4 linked regions of the Saccharomyces cerevisiae S288C genome follow. Changing the gene in region 1 together with any one later gene gives a genetic interaction. Each region holds a gene or a part of one and is shown in the gene's direction. Other genes may lie near its edges. The genes, in order: SPO7, PAH1, BRR6 and PMA1.

The links.
Region 2: of SPO7 (region 1) and PAH1, a mutation in one rescues a mutant of the other (synthetic rescue), as found in Saccharomyces cerevisiae (3 studies listed by BioGRID, with this or other methods).
Region 3: mutations in SPO7 (region 1) and BRR6 are lethal when combined (synthetic lethality), as found in Saccharomyces cerevisiae (2 studies listed by BioGRID, with this or other methods).
Region 4: mutations in SPO7 (region 1) and PMA1 together harm fitness more than expected from each alone (negative genetic interaction), as found in Saccharomyces cerevisiae (2 studies listed by BioGRID).

Annotation. Positions count from the first base shown.
Region 1 is NC_001133.9:133,980-137,197, forward strand, and holds SPO7 (Nem1-Spo7 phosphatase regulatory subunit SPO7), read left to right. Parts: upstream 1-1,874; coding exon 1,875-2,654; downstream 2,655-3,218. Other genes in the region: SWC3 (Swc3p), read left to right, coding at 1-97; MDM10 (Mdm10p), read right to left, coding at 205-1,686; FUN14 (Fun14p), read left to right, coding at 2,935-3,218. UniProt on the Saccharomyces cerevisiae protein: Regulatory component of the NEM1-SPO7 complex which acts as a phosphatase and dephosphorylates the phosphatidic acid phosphohydrolase PAH1. Essential for the formation of a spherical nucleus and meiotic division.
Region 2 is NC_001145.3:589,522-594,528, reverse strand, and holds PAH1 (phosphatidate phosphatase PAH1), read left to right. Parts: upstream 1-1,900; coding exon 1,901-4,489; downstream 4,490-5,007. Other genes in the region: MME1 (Mme1p), read left to right, coding at 56-1,162; MSS11 (Mss11p), read left to right, coding at 4,979-5,007. UniProt on the Saccharomyces cerevisiae protein: Mg(2+)-dependent phosphatidate (PA) phosphatase which catalyzes the dephosphorylation of PA to yield diacylglycerol. Required for de novo lipid synthesis and formation of lipid droplets.
Region 3 is NC_001139.9:34,987-38,067, forward strand, and holds BRR6 (Brr6p), read left to right. Parts: upstream 1-1,946; coding exon 1,947-2,540; downstream 2,541-3,081. Other genes in the region: ZIP2 (Zip2p), read left to right, coding at 1-226; 3',5'-cyclic-nucleotide phosphodiesterase PDE1, read left to right, coding at 667-1,776; RAI1 (decapping nuclease), read right to left, coding at 2,631-3,081. UniProt on the Saccharomyces cerevisiae protein: Required for mRNA nuclear export. Involved in the nuclear pore complex (NPC) distribution and nuclear envelope morphology.
Region 4 is NC_001139.9:479,410-484,626, reverse strand, and holds PMA1 (H(+)-exporting P2-type ATPase PMA1), read left to right. Parts: upstream 1-1,960; coding exon 1,961-4,717; downstream 4,718-5,217. Other genes in the region: BRP1 (Brp1p), read right to left, coding at 990-1,367; YGL007C-A (uncharacterized protein), read left to right, coding at 1,600-1,686. UniProt on the Saccharomyces cerevisiae protein: The plasma membrane ATPase of plants and fungi is a hydrogen ion pump. The proton gradient it generates drives the active transport of nutrients by H(+)-symport. The resulting external acidification and/or internal alkinization may mediate growth responses.

The DNA of each region.
Region 1 (3,218 bases):
ATTGGATGGATACGATGATGAAGCTTTGAGCGAAAGTTTGCGGTTCGAACTAAATGAGTGGGAGCACGCCATGAGAAGCAGAAGACACAAAAGATAAGGTGTTCGGTTACTTTATTCTGCTTTAACGCCATTATGATTATACACATTGTATTACTTATTTTTTAACCTGTATATTAAAACCTTTATTTTATTTCACATTACTCATCATGTGGAGTACTGGAATTGTATGCCAAACTTTGCCGGGAAAACTGGTATATTGCCGTTTTCTGTATCAGTTGCTGATATAGATATTGCATTATCATTCTTTTCATCATCGGATAAACTTTCTTGAAAGCCTCTAGTGAATACCAGCTCTGTCCCGGCAGATATTAAAAATCCCCTCCATTTGCCTTCCCATAATAGTTTTAAAGTCTTGTCACGTAATGACGTGCTTAATTTCCAAACACTGGTAAAAATGGAACTATTTATTTTGTTATCAAATTTTTCGATGGTAGATCTTTCTTCATCGATTTTTCTTAATGACGACGAGAATGCATAAGTTAAATCATTTAATAGCTTTTGTTTGTGAACAGGTATATCTAGTGTAGAAGGAATATCGTTAACAGCTGAATTCAGATCCGGTACATTTTCGTGCAGTAGTTTAGTCGCTCTGCTGTTTGGATTTATATCAACCAATTCGTCGGAGATTGGTTCTAATTTATCATTATTGTTTTTATTGGTTTCAAGCAAATGATGCTTTTTTTGCCAAAATTCGCACCCAAATGAAAGATTTGATTCAATCGAATAAAGATTAAAATCATACTTCGCGCAAAAAGTAGAATTTGTCCCTGTCTTGGCCGAATATGTGGAGGATATATGGCCGAATAATGGATTCCAAGATAATGTCAAAGTTAGTGGTCGTCCTGTGTTTGTAGAATGTGTGTAATATCTTAAAGTTGTCGAACAACCGGGGCTTAAACTTACTAACCCTAACCAAAATTCAGCACCAAGCGACAACGAAGAATTATTGTACAGTGAGGTGTTAAACTTGGAAGGCGTGGTAAGGAAATTGTGTAATACTCTATAACCACATAATAGATCACTGGTGGAAAATATCCACTCCTGTAAATTGCGGTGAGAATCTCTTTGAAAATAGCACGTTAAAACGTTTAAGCTTTCTTTGAAACTACTGACACCCTTAAGCATAAATTGGGTTTGTGGACTTAGTCGTTTTATTATCATTGCTTCTAAATCAGAGCTGGGGTAGTACATTCTACCATAATAAAGGGATTTTTTAACAAATTTCGAGTCATGTAGTAATTTCTTGTCATTGTCGACTGTGGTGTTGTCACTACTCAACGTATTCGCACTACTAACACTGAAATTGAGGTTTGGTTGCAATTGTCTGTATGTTTCGGTGGCATCTTGTAATGGGATATCAGTAGAGTTGCGCATGAATTTCTCCAATTGCTGTGCATCGGAGTATAAATAACTCAGAGAACCATTTATCCTGGACCTCGTAGAAAAATCTAAAGAATTGAATGTATTGGGAGTAGATTTGTTGGAAATTTGCAGGTGTATTGCTGAGGGAATTCGGAAATCTAATAATGTTCTCGATGTGGCCGTTATATCCTCGTAGCTATTTTGCGTACTCCAATGGGTGCTCTGATAAAATGCCCTTAGTACTTGGTCCATATAGGGTAGCATCAAGATCGGTCTTCTCTGTTCGTGTCTTTTTCCTAACGTATATTTGCTTTGTTTCTTCACTCAACAATAAAGTCAAAGTAAAATTAAATACTAATTATTCTTAAAAGGGAAGATGCGAAATTTAGCGAAAATCTATTGATTATACACACAAAGGAAGAAAGGTAGTGGAAAGCTAAATAAAGGAGGTCATGGAGCCAGAGAGCATAGGCGATGTGGGGAACCATGCCCAGGATGATAGTGCCAGTATAGTGTCCGGGCCTCGCAGGCGTTCTACTAGCAAGACATCCAGTGCGAAGAATATACGGAACTCCAGTAATATCTCTCCAGCATCGATGATTTTCAGGAATTTGTTGATACTGGAGGATGATTTAAGACGCCAAGCTCACGAACAAAAGATACTGAAGTGGCAATTCACTTTGTTCTTAGCGTCTATGGCCGGTGTAGGCGCATTTACCTTCTACGAACTTTATTTCACTTCAGATTATGTCAAGGGCCTCCATAGGGTTATTTTGCAATTCACTCTTTCTTTCATTTCCATTACTGTAGTTCTTTTTCATATCAGTGGACAATATAGAAGAACTATCGTCATTCCAAGAAGATTTTTTACCTCTACTAATAAAGGGATTAGGCAGTTTAATGTGAAGCTAGTTAAAGTACAGTCTACGTGGGACGAGAAATACACAGATTCAGTAAGATTTGTGAGTCGAACAATTGCTTATTGTAATATTTATTGTTTGAAAAAATTTCTGTGGCTTAAAGACGATAATGCCATTGTGAAATTTTGGAAAAGTGTCACGATACAATCCCAACCGAGGATCGGAGCTGTGGATGTGAAATTAGTCCTCAACCCCAGAGCATTTAGTGCAGAGATTAGAGAAGGATGGGAGATTTATAGAGACGAGTTTTGGGCCAGGGAAGGTGCTAGAAGACGCAAACAAGCGCACGAACTCCGACCTAAATCAGAATGAAAGAGTTGGAGGGCTTCTTCCTTCGAATAAGAGGTCATATTTACCTATGTAAAATTGTAACCATCTATGTTCACACATAAATTATATTTTATACATTATTAGAAGTGAAGCTGTTGTGTCGTGAAAATTTTACAAATCCGTCATTTCATATTTAAGTTTTCCAACAAGTGCTAGAAAACCTAGGGGTTGTTGAAATTGGTTAAACAAGGCATCTTATTATACATACAACAGCATAACGCTAGAGGGGCAAGAAGGAAGAACTTAAAATAATAGGTGTAAAATGACTTTGGCTTTTAATATGCAACGGTTGGTGTTTCGTAATTTGAATGTTGGGAAGCGCATGTTCAAGAACGTCCCCTTATGGAGGTTTAATGTCGCCAATAAATTAGGAAAGCCCTTAACTCGCTCTGTAGGGTTAGGCGGTGCTGGCATAGTTGCTGGTGGCTTTTACTTGATGAATCGCCAGCCTTCTAAGTTGATATTCAATGATTCTTTAGGGGCAGCTGTCAAACAACAGGGTCCCTTGGAACCAACTGTGGGCAACAGTACGGCAATTACCGAGGA
Region 2 (5,007 bases), on another chromosome or scaffold:
TTCTAACGAAGCACGCATAATAATCTTCACTTCCAACCGACTGGTATAAAAGATAATGAACTCATGGAACCTGAGTTCTTCAATACCGATAATACATACGCCTCATGACCATCCCCCGACATCAGAAGGAACTCCAGATCAACCAAATAATAACCGAAAAGATGATAAACTGCACAAAAAAAGAGGCGATTCAGATGAGGACTTAAGCCCTATATGGCATTGTGTCGTCTCCGGTGGGATTGGTGGAAAAATAGGAGATTCTGCGATGCATTCATTGGATACTGTTAAGACAAGACAACAGGGCGCACCCAATGTCAAAAAATACAGGAACATGATCTCTGCATATCGTACCATTTGGCTAGAAGAAGGCGTGAGAAGGGGGCTATACGGCGGTTACATGGCTGCCATGTTAGGCTCCTTCCCGTCAGCGGCAATCTTCTTTGGGACCTATGAATATACTAAGAGAACAATGATAGAAGATTGGCAGATTAACGATACCATCACACATTTGAGCGCTGGATTTCTTGGCGATTTTATCTCCAGTTTTGTTTATGTTCCATCAGAGGTCCTAAAGACAAGGCTACAATTGCAAGGAAGGTTCAATAATCCTTTCTTTCAATCTGGCTATAATTATTCGAATTTAAGAAATGCCATAAAGACAGTTATAAAAGAAGAAGGGTTTCGCTCACTATTTTTTGGATACAAAGCCACTTTAGCCAGAGATTTGCCATTTAGTGCATTGCAGTTTGCCTTCTACGAAAAGTTTAGGCAATTGGCTTTCAAGATTGAACAGAAAGATGGTAGGGATGGTGAGTTGTCTATACCTAATGAAATATTGACTGGTGCCTGTGCAGGTGGACTGGCGGGAATCATTACCACACCAATGGATGTTGTTAAGACTAGAGTCCAAACTCAACAGCCGCCCAGCCAAAGCAACAAATCATACTCAGTAACACATCCACATGTAACAAACGGCAGACCGGCAGCACTTTCCAACTCGATTTCGCTCAGCCTTCGGACGGTCTACCAATCTGAAGGTGTGTTAGGTTTCTTTAGTGGCGTTGGCCCTAGATTCGTCTGGACAAGTGTTCAGAGCAGTATAATGTTGCTTCTGTATCAAATGACCCTACGCGGATTAAGTAACGCATTTCCAACGGACTAAGAGCCTGATTTCTGGCTCATCTAACTCTCTAGAGGATAATTTTATGTGATAAAACTTTTCCTACAAGCGGCTACAATAAAGACAGTACAAGGGACCTCACCCTATTCGCCATCACTGCACATCACAGTGGGTCTTGTACTTATCATTTCACATACATAGATATAGGTTCTTCCGAATAAGTTTTGTATATAGTCATTTACGGCAAGAATACTCATCTAAGTTTAATACGCATTTCTCTCTTCGTTCGCAGTTCCTAACACTGAGCGTTCTTGTTTGGAGGGCTCGTTTAAAAAAAAGTCTAACAAATGTGACAGATTTGCTTGAACAGGGTCCAAACTCATCTTGTATATCATAACACTACATCACTGGGAGACAAAATCGAAGTGCCCACGTGCTGCTCATTCTCTAAACGGTCTGTCGCGGGCCCTTTTCGTCCTTCGGTTTCCCTCCCTTTAGACAATGGGCTCTCTTTTCTCTATTATCTATCTCTTTTTCTCGGCTTTTCCGGCCAGCGTTGAAAGCAGCGCACGGTGAGGGTAGAAGGAAGAGCAAGGACAAGTGAAGAGTAGGCCATCGTGGGGGCTTGTGTTTATAAAGAAAATACATTCAACAATTTAGTAAAACGTGTTCAAGAAGTGTTAATCAGACCAATTGGACACTACACCTTCGTAATCACAGTTTTACCTTCTAAGAAACATACAGGGAAGAAATTACTGAAGATAGACACATCGGTCGATTATGCAGTACGTAGGCAGAGCTCTTGGGTCTGTGTCTAAAACATGGTCTTCTATCAATCCGGCTACGCTATCAGGTGCTATAGATGTCATTGTAGTGGAGCATCCAGACGGAAGGCTATCATGTTCTCCCTTTCATGTGAGGTTCGGCAAATTTCAAATTCTAAAGCCATCTCAAAAGAAAGTCCAAGTGTTTATAAATGAGAAACTGAGTAATATGCCAATGAAACTGAGTGATTCTGGAGAAGCCTATTTCGTTTTCGAGATGGGTGACCAGGTCACTGATGTCCCTGACGAATTGCTTGTGTCGCCCGTGATGAGCGCCACATCAAGCCCCCCTCAATCACCTGAAACATCCATCTTAGAAGGAGGAACCGAGGGTGAAGGTGAAGGTGAAAATGAAAATAAGAAGAAGGAAAAGAAAGTGCTAGAGGAACCAGATTTTTTAGATATCAATGACACTGGAGATTCAGGCAGTAAAAATAGTGAAACTACAGGGTCGCTTTCTCCTACTGAATCCTCTACAACGACACCACCAGATTCAGTTGAAGAGAGGAAGCTTGTTGAGCAGCGTACAAAGAACTTTCAGCAAAAACTAAACAAAAAACTCACTGAAATCCATATACCCAGTAAACTTGATAACAATGGCGACTTACTACTAGACACTGAAGGTTACAAGCCAAACAAGAATATGATGCATGACACAGACATACAACTGAAGCAGTTGTTAAAGGACGAATTCGGTAATGATTCAGATATTTCCAGTTTTATCAAGGAGGACAAAAATGGCAACATCAAGATCGTAAATCCTTACGAGCACCTTACTGATTTATCTCCTCCAGGTACGCCTCCAACAATGGCCACAAGCGGATCAGTTTTAGGCTTAGATGCAATGGAATCAGGAAGTACTTTGAATTCGTTATCTTCTTCACCTTCTGGTTCCGATACTGAGGACGAAACATCATTTAGCAAAGAACAAAGCAGTAAAAGTGAAAAAACTAGCAAGAAAGGAACAGCAGGGAGCGGTGAGACCGAGAAAAGATACATACGAACGATAAGATTGACTAATGACCAGTTAAAGTGCCTAAATTTAACTTATGGTGAAAATGATCTGAAATTTTCCGTAGATCACGGAAAAGCTATTGTTACGTCAAAATTATTCGTTTGGAGGTGGGATGTTCCAATTGTTATCAGTGATATTGATGGCACCATCACAAAATCGGACGCTTTAGGCCATGTTCTGGCAATGATAGGAAAAGACTGGACGCACTTGGGTGTAGCCAAGTTATTTAGCGAGATCTCCAGGAATGGCTATAATATACTCTATCTAACTGCAAGAAGTGCTGGACAAGCTGATTCCACGAGGAGTTATTTGCGATCAATTGAACAGAATGGCAGCAAACTACCAAATGGGCCTGTGATTTTATCACCCGATAGAACGATGGCTGCGTTAAGGCGGGAAGTAATACTAAAAAAACCTGAAGTCTTTAAAATCGCGTGTCTAAACGACATAAGATCCTTGTATTTTGAAGACAGTGATAACGAAGTGGATACAGAGGAAAAATCAACACCATTTTTTGCCGGCTTTGGTAATAGGATTACTGATGCTTTATCTTACAGAACTGTGGGGATACCTAGTTCAAGAATTTTCACAATAAATACAGAGGGTGAGGTTCATATGGAATTATTGGAGTTAGCAGGTTACAGAAGCTCCTATATTCATATCAATGAGCTTGTCGATCATTTCTTTCCACCAGTCAGCCTTGATAGTGTCGATCTAAGAACTAATACTTCCATGGTTCCTGGCTCCCCCCCTAATAGAACGTTGGATAACTTTGACTCAGAAATTACTTCAGGTCGCAAAACGCTATTTAGAGGCAATCAGGAAGAGAAATTCACAGACGTAAATTTTTGGAGAGACCCGTTAGTCGACATCGACAACTTATCGGATATTAGCAATGATGATTCTGATAACATCGATGAAGATACTGACGTATCACAACAAAGCAACATTAGTAGAAATAGGGCAAATTCAGTCAAAACCGCCAAGGTCACTAAAGCCCCGCAAAGAAATGTGAGCGGCAGCACAAATAACAACGAAGTTTTAGCCGCTTCGTCTGATGTAGAAAATGCGTCTGACCTGGTGAGTTCCCATAGTAGCTCAGGATCCACGCCCAATAAATCTACAATGTCCAAAGGGGACATTGGAAAACAAATATATTTGGAGCTAGGTTCTCCACTTGCATCGCCAAAACTAAGATATTTAGACGATATGGATGATGAAGACTCCAATTACAATAGAACTAAATCAAGGAGAGCATCTTCTGCAGCCGCGACTAGTATCGATAAAGAGTTCAAAAAGCTCTCTGTGTCAAAGGCCGGCGCTCCAACAAGAATTGTTTCAAAGATCAACGTTTCAAATGACGTACATTCACTTGGGAATTCAGATACCGAATCACGAAGGGAGCAAAGTGTTAATGAAACAGGGCGCAATCAGCTACCCCACAACTCAATGGACGATAAAGATTTGGATTCAAGAGTAAGCGATGAATTCGATGACGATGAATTCGACGAAGATGAATTCGAAGATTAAAGATTCTTGTAGCCGAATATTATTTATAACGATCCATACTGCATATTAAGTAAAATTATGAAGTACTAAGTAACAATTTTTCAATTTTATTTAAGAAAAGAGAAGGAAAAAAAAAAGAAGAAAATTTTTTGATAGAAGAAAAAGGTAAACGATGATTGTTACGTACCAAGTGTTCTTCTGAGCTATTTGGTAATTACATACTTCTTCGAAATGTCAAGGTAAATACTTTTCTATACGCACACGAAACTCGCTTGCTGCAACAGGTATTACGTCAGGTGAAAAAAGCGGCCAAGAGGCAATGCCGAAATACAATGCGTGTATAACAGGAAGAGGAGGGGTATAATAAAATCACCATAGTAGAAAAGACCAGAAAGATTTCTATTGCAATCCTGTGTGACTCTTTTGGTTTTTCCCTTTGGTATCTCCCGGTTCTTTTGTCAATTTTTCGTTAAACTGCAGTGAAATAAGAAAAAGGTGCATGATAAAGATATGGATAACACGACCAATATTAATACAAA
Region 3 (3,081 bases), on another chromosome or scaffold:
TGCAAGATGGGCCTTTTCATATAACGATGAGAAAGAAAAAAATATTGCAAATGCCGATATTCTTCTAGATTTGGGATTTAACATCCTCTTAGTACGGAAAATTTTCCAGACATATAGTCTCGAAGAATTTTTTATGGCAATAATAAAGGAAGAAAGCAAAGCTGTTAAAATGCTTACGGTTTCACAAATGACTCGCCTGAAGAAGTTATTAACCTTAGAATGGTAAATCCAGCAAGGATCGTTACCCGGTAAACTATTTATACTACGCCTGCCTCTTTCGTTCTTCGACTACATGCTACAGTTAGTAAATTCAACCAAGGAAAATGTATTTATTAACATGAACTAGCCACCTAATTAACCCTTACCTTATTTTTTATACCCTTGGATCATCGGAGTATCTGTAGATCATATGTTAACGTATGTATAATATTACATCTGTCACAATAAACAACCCGAAAAAAATACCGCACGGAAAATGAGTTACTGATTAAGATGCACTTTTTGGTGAGGGTGCGTGACTTGAAACTAAAAATTACCAATAGTCAAACCCTTTCCATTTTCGAGGGAAGCAATATCTGAAATTTATATTTTTAGAAATTTCCAAGAGAAAGTGGCTTTTAACGAGGTTCTTCTTCTTCATCCCCTTTTTTACCAATATTCCTTTTTATGGTTGTATTCGAAATAACTATACTTGGGGCCAATGGAGGACCCACCGAATACGGAACACAGTGTTTTATACTTAAGCCTGCTAGAACAGAGGATCCAGAATTAATAGCTGTAGACGGTGGTGCAGGAATGTACCAGCTACGGGAGATGTTGGTCCAAGGGCGAAATGAAAATGAAGGTGATGATGAGCTTGTTCCAAGCTTTTATGAACATGATCGAGAGCCAATAGAGTTTTTTATTGATTCCAAACTGAACATACAAAAGGGATTATCCAAGTCCTTGCTACAATCATTAAAGAGGCAGGGAGAGCATTTTGAAAGCGCCAATACAATGAAGAAAACTTACGAGGTTTTCCAAGGAATTACCGACTACTACATTACCCATCCCCATCTGGACCATATTAGTGGGCTGGTAGTAAACTCCCCCTCAATATATGAGCAGGAAAACAGTAAAAAGAAAACTATTTGGGGATTACCGCATACTATTGACGTTTTGCAAAAGCATGTCTTTAATGACTTAATATGGCCAGATTTAACGGCAGAACGTTCAAGAAAATTGAAGCTAAAATGCTTGAATCCGAAGGAAGTTCAAAAGTGCACTATCTTTCCTTGGGATGTAATACCGTTCAAAGTTCATCATGGGATAGGCGTCAAGACTGGCGCGCCGGTATACAGCACCTTCTATATCTTCAGAGACAGGAAAAGCAAAGACTGTATAATAGTTTGCGGAGATGTTGAGCAGGACCGCAGAGAATCTGAAGAATCTCTACTTGAAGAATTTTGGTCTTACGTTGCTGAAAATATACCGCTTGTGCATCTCAAGGGTATATTAGTCGAATGTTCATGCCCATTATCTTCCAAGCCCGAGCAATTGTATGGTCATCTATCTCCAATATATTTAATCAACGAATTATCCAATTTGAACACTTTATACAACAGTAGTAAGGGATTAAGCGGTTTGAATGTTATCGTTACTCACGTTAAGTCAACACCTGCTAAAAGAGACCCAAGACTAACCATACTCGAAGAGTTACGATTTTTAGCTGAGGAGAGGAACTTAGGAGACTTGAGAATATCTATTGCGCTAGAAGGCCACACTTTGTTTCTATAATGTACACAACGTCAATAACATAATACTACGTAGATGAAAAGCGGAAAAATTCATTACCCGGGAGCAAGCAAAATACTAGTAGTAACTAATGAAACTTCTTTCCATTATTATTGATGAGTTAACTTATGTAGACTCATCTTTGAATCCCCTATCCCAACATAAGTCCCGGAATGGAACTCCGTAGTTTTTCTAGACAGCCTGATGGCATACTTGCTAACCCAAGATTGGGAAGGGAGGAAGTATTGGAAGGTGAACATCCGCAAGATGCTAGATTAGCCCGACAAAGCATTTGGTTGAGCCCAAGTTTAATTGCGGAGTATATACAGCTTTTTTTCAATTTTATTATAGGAACTATAGGACTGTCTCTTGCTATTAAATTCATTTTGATGATAAGAAACGATGTTAACTTAAAACTGGAGCATAACGTGAGGGAAGAATTAGATAAAATTGCAACTTGCAAATCAAGGTATTTTGAAAACCAGTGCGAACCTCATATGAGGGTTCCAGCATTGGAGGTACGTTGCAATGAATGGTCAAAATGTATGAACAAGGAAATAGTGTCTGGCTCCGATTACCAATGGGCTAAAGCATGGGCTCGTACTCTGGCGGAGGTAATAAATGCTTTTTTTGAAGCGTTCAGTATACGATCTTTCCTTTTCATTTTAATTAGCATAATAGGTATAATATTTGTTACCAATACGAGTTTCGGATCATACAGGGTTTATCTCAATAATAAAGATACAAAATCGGTTCGCCATGCATAGTGTATATAACTTAATCTAATCTGCACATTTATATTATTTAGATCCATACGTCGATGAGGATATGCGCAGGAAAGACATAAAGGAATATTGTTATTTCAAAGATTTTCTCCACTCCTTAAACCCGTTCGATAATATATGTTCTCCATCAATCAAACCTGAATATTCCTCATCACTTTCTTCAATTTCGGATAATCTTAGGTGATTATTTTCGAAAACCAACTTAAATGCTCTTATTTGAGAATGAGGATCCTCATCTCTTGGTATCATTTTCAAAAGCCACTCAGTAAGGAGACCATACCATTTAATGGCTTCTAAACATGCACTTCCAACTTGTGGATTATTGTTCTTTAATAAAACAGGTACTTCCTCCGTTGAAAACTCTTCCACAGTTTTTAATACATAATGGTCGTCTTTAAAACCATATATGATCCTTGGGATCCCAACTAAGAAGCATTGCAGCCAGGTCCGGAACAGTTTACGCTCAAACTTATGCGTATCCGATATGTTCGCAACTTGCTGCGTACATTTCAATTCGGCATAA
Region 4 (5,217 bases), on another chromosome or scaffold:
AGAAAAAGACATTTCTCGAGAGAAAAAAAGTAAAGACCTTATCGTACAACTGTTACTGACATTTTTATTTTAAGAAGCTAAACCCTTATTATTAGCGCGCCCAAGTAGGCGCAAAACTAGAGAAGTCGCAGATGCATCCACCCACTTTTTGCCTTATTTTTCCTTAATTTCAGAAATATAGTTAAAATGAAAAACAAGGACAAGAAAAGAACGGGAAAAAGAAAAGGGGGATTAGCAAACAAAGAAAAGTCCAATAAAATGATTACAGACAGCATTGGATGCGATGAGATGGCAACCAGCGAGATGAGAGCATAGGATTTTCATCCTAGCTGCTTTAGGGAAGACGCACAAAACTTTGTTATGTTTGTAGTAAATATAGAAAAGAAAACAAAAAAGTGCTCGGACGAATCCGGTAGAGCTGTGTCTAGCCTCAATAAGTTTGCCGCATTTGGTAAATCAAAACTGTTTTTCTCTCCGTCATTTGTTTTGAAGCTTGTTCTGTTAGTTTAGGGAAATAGAAAAAAAAAAAAAGGGAAAAAGAAAGAAATCATATGCCCAATGGAGTACGAGAATTGGGGAAAAAGCCTCCATCGGGTTTTTAAACGGGCGTATACATGCTTACCACACTCCCGTAAGCAAGAACAAAGAATTTATCTTGATAAACTGCGTAATAAGTCAATCAATTGCTCTATATACGCGCATATACGTAAAACACAGAATCACATTTTAGTCAGGCCCAAGCCGTATAGGGCGAAAAAGCCCGCGCTTATCAAGTCATCGTAACGAATCAGATCTTTCCAACTGCTATCGCATACGTAAGAGAATTGAAATATTTCTCGGGTACGATACGACATTTTTTCTTTACATTTCTTTACTAAACCCGACGGCACGGGAAAGAAGATGAGACTCGGAACGGAAGCTAGAAGAAAAAGGAAGGACACAGAGATTTTCCGAGATTAACTCAGCTTTGCTAAAGTGCAAAAAGTCGTTTACGTCACCATCGCTGACGGGGAAAAAACAAAACAAGCTTCCTGAAACGGAGAAACATAAACAGGCATTGCTGGGATCACCCATACATCACTCTGTTTTGCCTGACCTTTTCCGGTAATTTGAAAACAAACCCGGTCTCGAAGCGGAGATCCGGCGATAATTACCGCAGAAATAAACCCATACACGAGACGTAGAACCAGCCGCACATGGCCGGAGAAACTCCTGCGAGAATTTCGTAAACTCGCGCGCATTGCATCTGTATTTCCTAATGCGGCACTTCCAGGCCTCGAGACCTCTGACATGCTTTTGACAGGAATAGACATTTTCAGAATGTTATCCATATGCCTTTCGGGTTTTTTTCCTTCCTTTTCCATCATGAAAAATCTCTCGAGACCGTTTATCCATTGCTTTTTTGTTGTCTTTTTCCCTCGTTCACAGAAAGTCTGAAGAAGCTATAGTAGAACTATGAGCTTTTTTTGTTTCTGTTTTCCTTTTTTTTTTTTTTACCTCTGTGGAAATTGTTACTCTCACACTCTTTAGTTCGTTTGTTTGTTTTGTTTATTCCAATTATGACCGGTGACGAAACGTGGTCGATGGTGGGTACCGCTTATGCTCCCCTCCATTAGTTTCGATTATATAAAAAGGCCAAATATTGTATTATTTTCAAATGTCCTATCATTATCGTCTAACATCTAATTTCTCTTAAATTTTTTCTCTTTCTTTCCTATAACACCAATAGTGAAAATCTTTTTTTCTTCTATATCTACAAAAACTTTTTTTTTCTATCAACCTCGTTGATAAATTTTTTCTTTAACAATCGTTAATAATTAATTAATTGGAAAATAACCATTTTTTCTCTCTTTTATACACACATTCAAAAGAAAGAAAAAAAATATACCCCAGCTAGTTAAAGAAAATCATTGAAAAGAATAAGAAGATAAGAAAGATTTAATTATCAAACAATATCAATATGACTGATACATCATCCTCTTCATCATCCTCTTCAGCATCTTCTGTTTCAGCTCATCAGCCAACTCAAGAAAAGCCTGCTAAGACTTACGATGACGCTGCATCTGAATCTTCTGACGATGACGATATCGATGCTTTAATCGAAGAACTACAATCTAATCACGGTGTCGACGACGAAGACAGTGATAACGATGGTCCAGTTGCCGCCGGTGAAGCTAGACCAGTTCCAGAAGAATATTTACAAACTGACCCATCTTACGGTTTAACTTCCGATGAAGTTTTGAAAAGAAGAAAGAAGTACGGTTTGAATCAAATGGCTGACGAAAAAGAATCTTTAGTCGTTAAGTTCGTTATGTTTTTCGTCGGTCCAATTCAATTCGTTATGGAAGCCGCTGCTATTTTGGCTGCCGGTTTGTCCGATTGGGTCGATTTCGGTGTTATCTGTGGTTTGTTAATGTTAAACGCTGGTGTTGGTTTCGTTCAAGAATTCCAAGCTGGTTCTATTGTCGATGAATTGAAAAAGACTTTGGCTAACACTGCTGTTGTTATCAGAGACGGTCAATTGGTTGAAATTCCAGCCAACGAAGTCGTCCCAGGTGATATTTTGCAATTGGAAGATGGTACTGTTATCCCAACTGATGGTCGTATTGTCACTGAAGACTGTTTCTTGCAAATCGATCAATCTGCTATTACTGGTGAATCTTTGGCTGTCGACAAACATTACGGTGACCAAACTTTCTCTTCTTCCACTGTTAAGAGAGGTGAAGGTTTCATGGTTGTTACCGCTACCGGTGACAACACTTTCGTTGGTAGAGCTGCTGCTTTGGTTAACAAAGCCGCTGGTGGTCAAGGTCATTTCACTGAAGTTTTGAACGGTATTGGTATTATCTTATTGGTTTTGGTCATTGCCACTTTGTTGTTGGTCTGGACTGCTTGTTTCTACAGAACCAACGGTATTGTTAGAATCTTGAGATACACTCTAGGTATTACTATTATTGGTGTCCCAGTCGGTTTGCCAGCTGTCGTTACCACCACTATGGCCGTCGGTGCTGCTTACTTGGCTAAGAAACAAGCCATTGTTCAAAAGTTGTCTGCTATTGAATCCTTGGCTGGTGTCGAAATCTTGTGTTCCGACAAAACCGGTACTTTGACCAAGAACAAGTTGTCCTTGCACGAACCATACACTGTTGAAGGTGTTTCTCCAGACGACTTGATGTTGACTGCTTGTTTGGCTGCTTCCAGAAAGAAGAAGGGTTTGGATGCTATTGATAAGGCTTTCTTGAAGTCTTTGAAGCAATATCCAAAGGCTAAGGACGCTTTGACCAAGTACAAGGTTTTGGAATTCCATCCATTTGACCCTGTCTCCAAGAAGGTTACTGCCGTTGTCGAATCTCCAGAAGGTGAAAGAATTGTTTGTGTTAAGGGTGCTCCATTATTCGTCTTGAAGACTGTCGAAGAAGATCACCCAATCCCAGAAGATGTCCATGAAAACTACGAAAACAAGGTTGCTGAATTGGCTTCTAGAGGGTTCCGTGCTTTAGGTGTTGCTAGAAAGAGAGGTGAAGGTCACTGGGAAATCTTGGGTGTTATGCCATGTATGGATCCACCAAGAGACGATACTGCTCAAACTGTTAGCGAAGCTAGACACTTGGGTCTAAGAGTTAAGATGTTAACTGGTGATGCTGTTGGTATTGCTAAGGAAACTTGTAGACAATTGGGTTTGGGTACCAACATTTACAACGCTGAAAGATTAGGTCTAGGTGGCGGTGGTGACATGCCAGGTTCTGAATTAGCTGATTTTGTTGAAAATGCCGATGGTTTCGCTGAAGTTTTCCCACAACATAAATACAGAGTTGTTGAAATCTTGCAAAACAGAGGTTACTTGGTTGCTATGACTGGTGATGGTGTTAACGATGCTCCATCTTTGAAGAAGGCTGATACTGGTATTGCTGTCGAAGGTGCTACTGATGCTGCCAGATCTGCTGCTGATATTGTTTTCTTGGCTCCTGGTCTATCTGCTATTATTGATGCTTTGAAGACCTCCAGACAAATTTTTCACAGAATGTACTCTTACGTTGTTTACCGTATTGCTTTGTCTCTACATTTGGAAATCTTCTTGGGTCTATGGATTGCTATTTTGGATAACTCTTTGGACATTGATTTGATTGTTTTCATCGCTATTTTCGCTGATGTTGCTACTTTGGCTATTGCTTACGATAATGCTCCTTACTCTCCAAAGCCCGTTAAATGGAACCTACCAAGATTATGGGGTATGTCTATTATTTTGGGCATAGTTTTAGCTATAGGTTCTTGGATTACCTTGACTACTATGTTCTTACCAAAGGGTGGTATTATCCAAAACTTCGGTGCTATGAACGGTATTATGTTCTTGCAAATTTCCTTGACTGAAAACTGGTTGATTTTCATTACCAGAGCTGCTGGTCCATTCTGGTCTTCTATCCCATCCTGGCAATTGGCTGGTGCCGTCTTCGCTGTCGACATCATCGCTACCATGTTTACCTTATTCGGTTGGTGGTCTGAAAACTGGACTGATATTGTTACTGTCGTCCGTGTCTGGATCTGGTCTATCGGTATCTTCTGTGTTTTGGGTGGTTTCTACTACGAAATGTCCACTTCTGAAGCCTTTGACAGATTGATGAACGGTAAGCCAATGAAGGAAAAGAAGTCTACCAGAAGTGTCGAAGACTTCATGGCTGCTATGCAAAGAGTCTCTACTCAACACGAAAAGGAAACCTAATCCTGTTGAAGTAGCATTTAATCATAATTTTTGTCACATTTTAATCAACTTGATTTTTCTGGTTTAATTTTTCTAATTTTAATTTTAATTTTTTTATCAATGGGAACTGATACACTAAAAAGAATTAGGAGCCAACAAGAATAAGCCGCTTATTTCCTACTAGAGTTTGCTTAAAATTTCATCTCGAATTGTCATTCTAATATTTTATCCACACACACACCTTAAAATTTTTAGATTAAATGGCATCAACTCTTAGCTTCACACACACACACACACCGAAGCTGGTTGTTTTATTTGATTTGATATAATTGGTTTCTCTGGATGGTACTTTTTCTTTCTTGGTTATTTCCTATTTTAAAATATGAAACGCACACAAGTCATAATTATTCTAATAGAGCACAATTCACAACACGCACATTTCAACTTTAATATTTTTTTAGAAACACTTTATTTAGTCTAATTCTTAATTTTTAATATATATAATGCACACACACTAATTT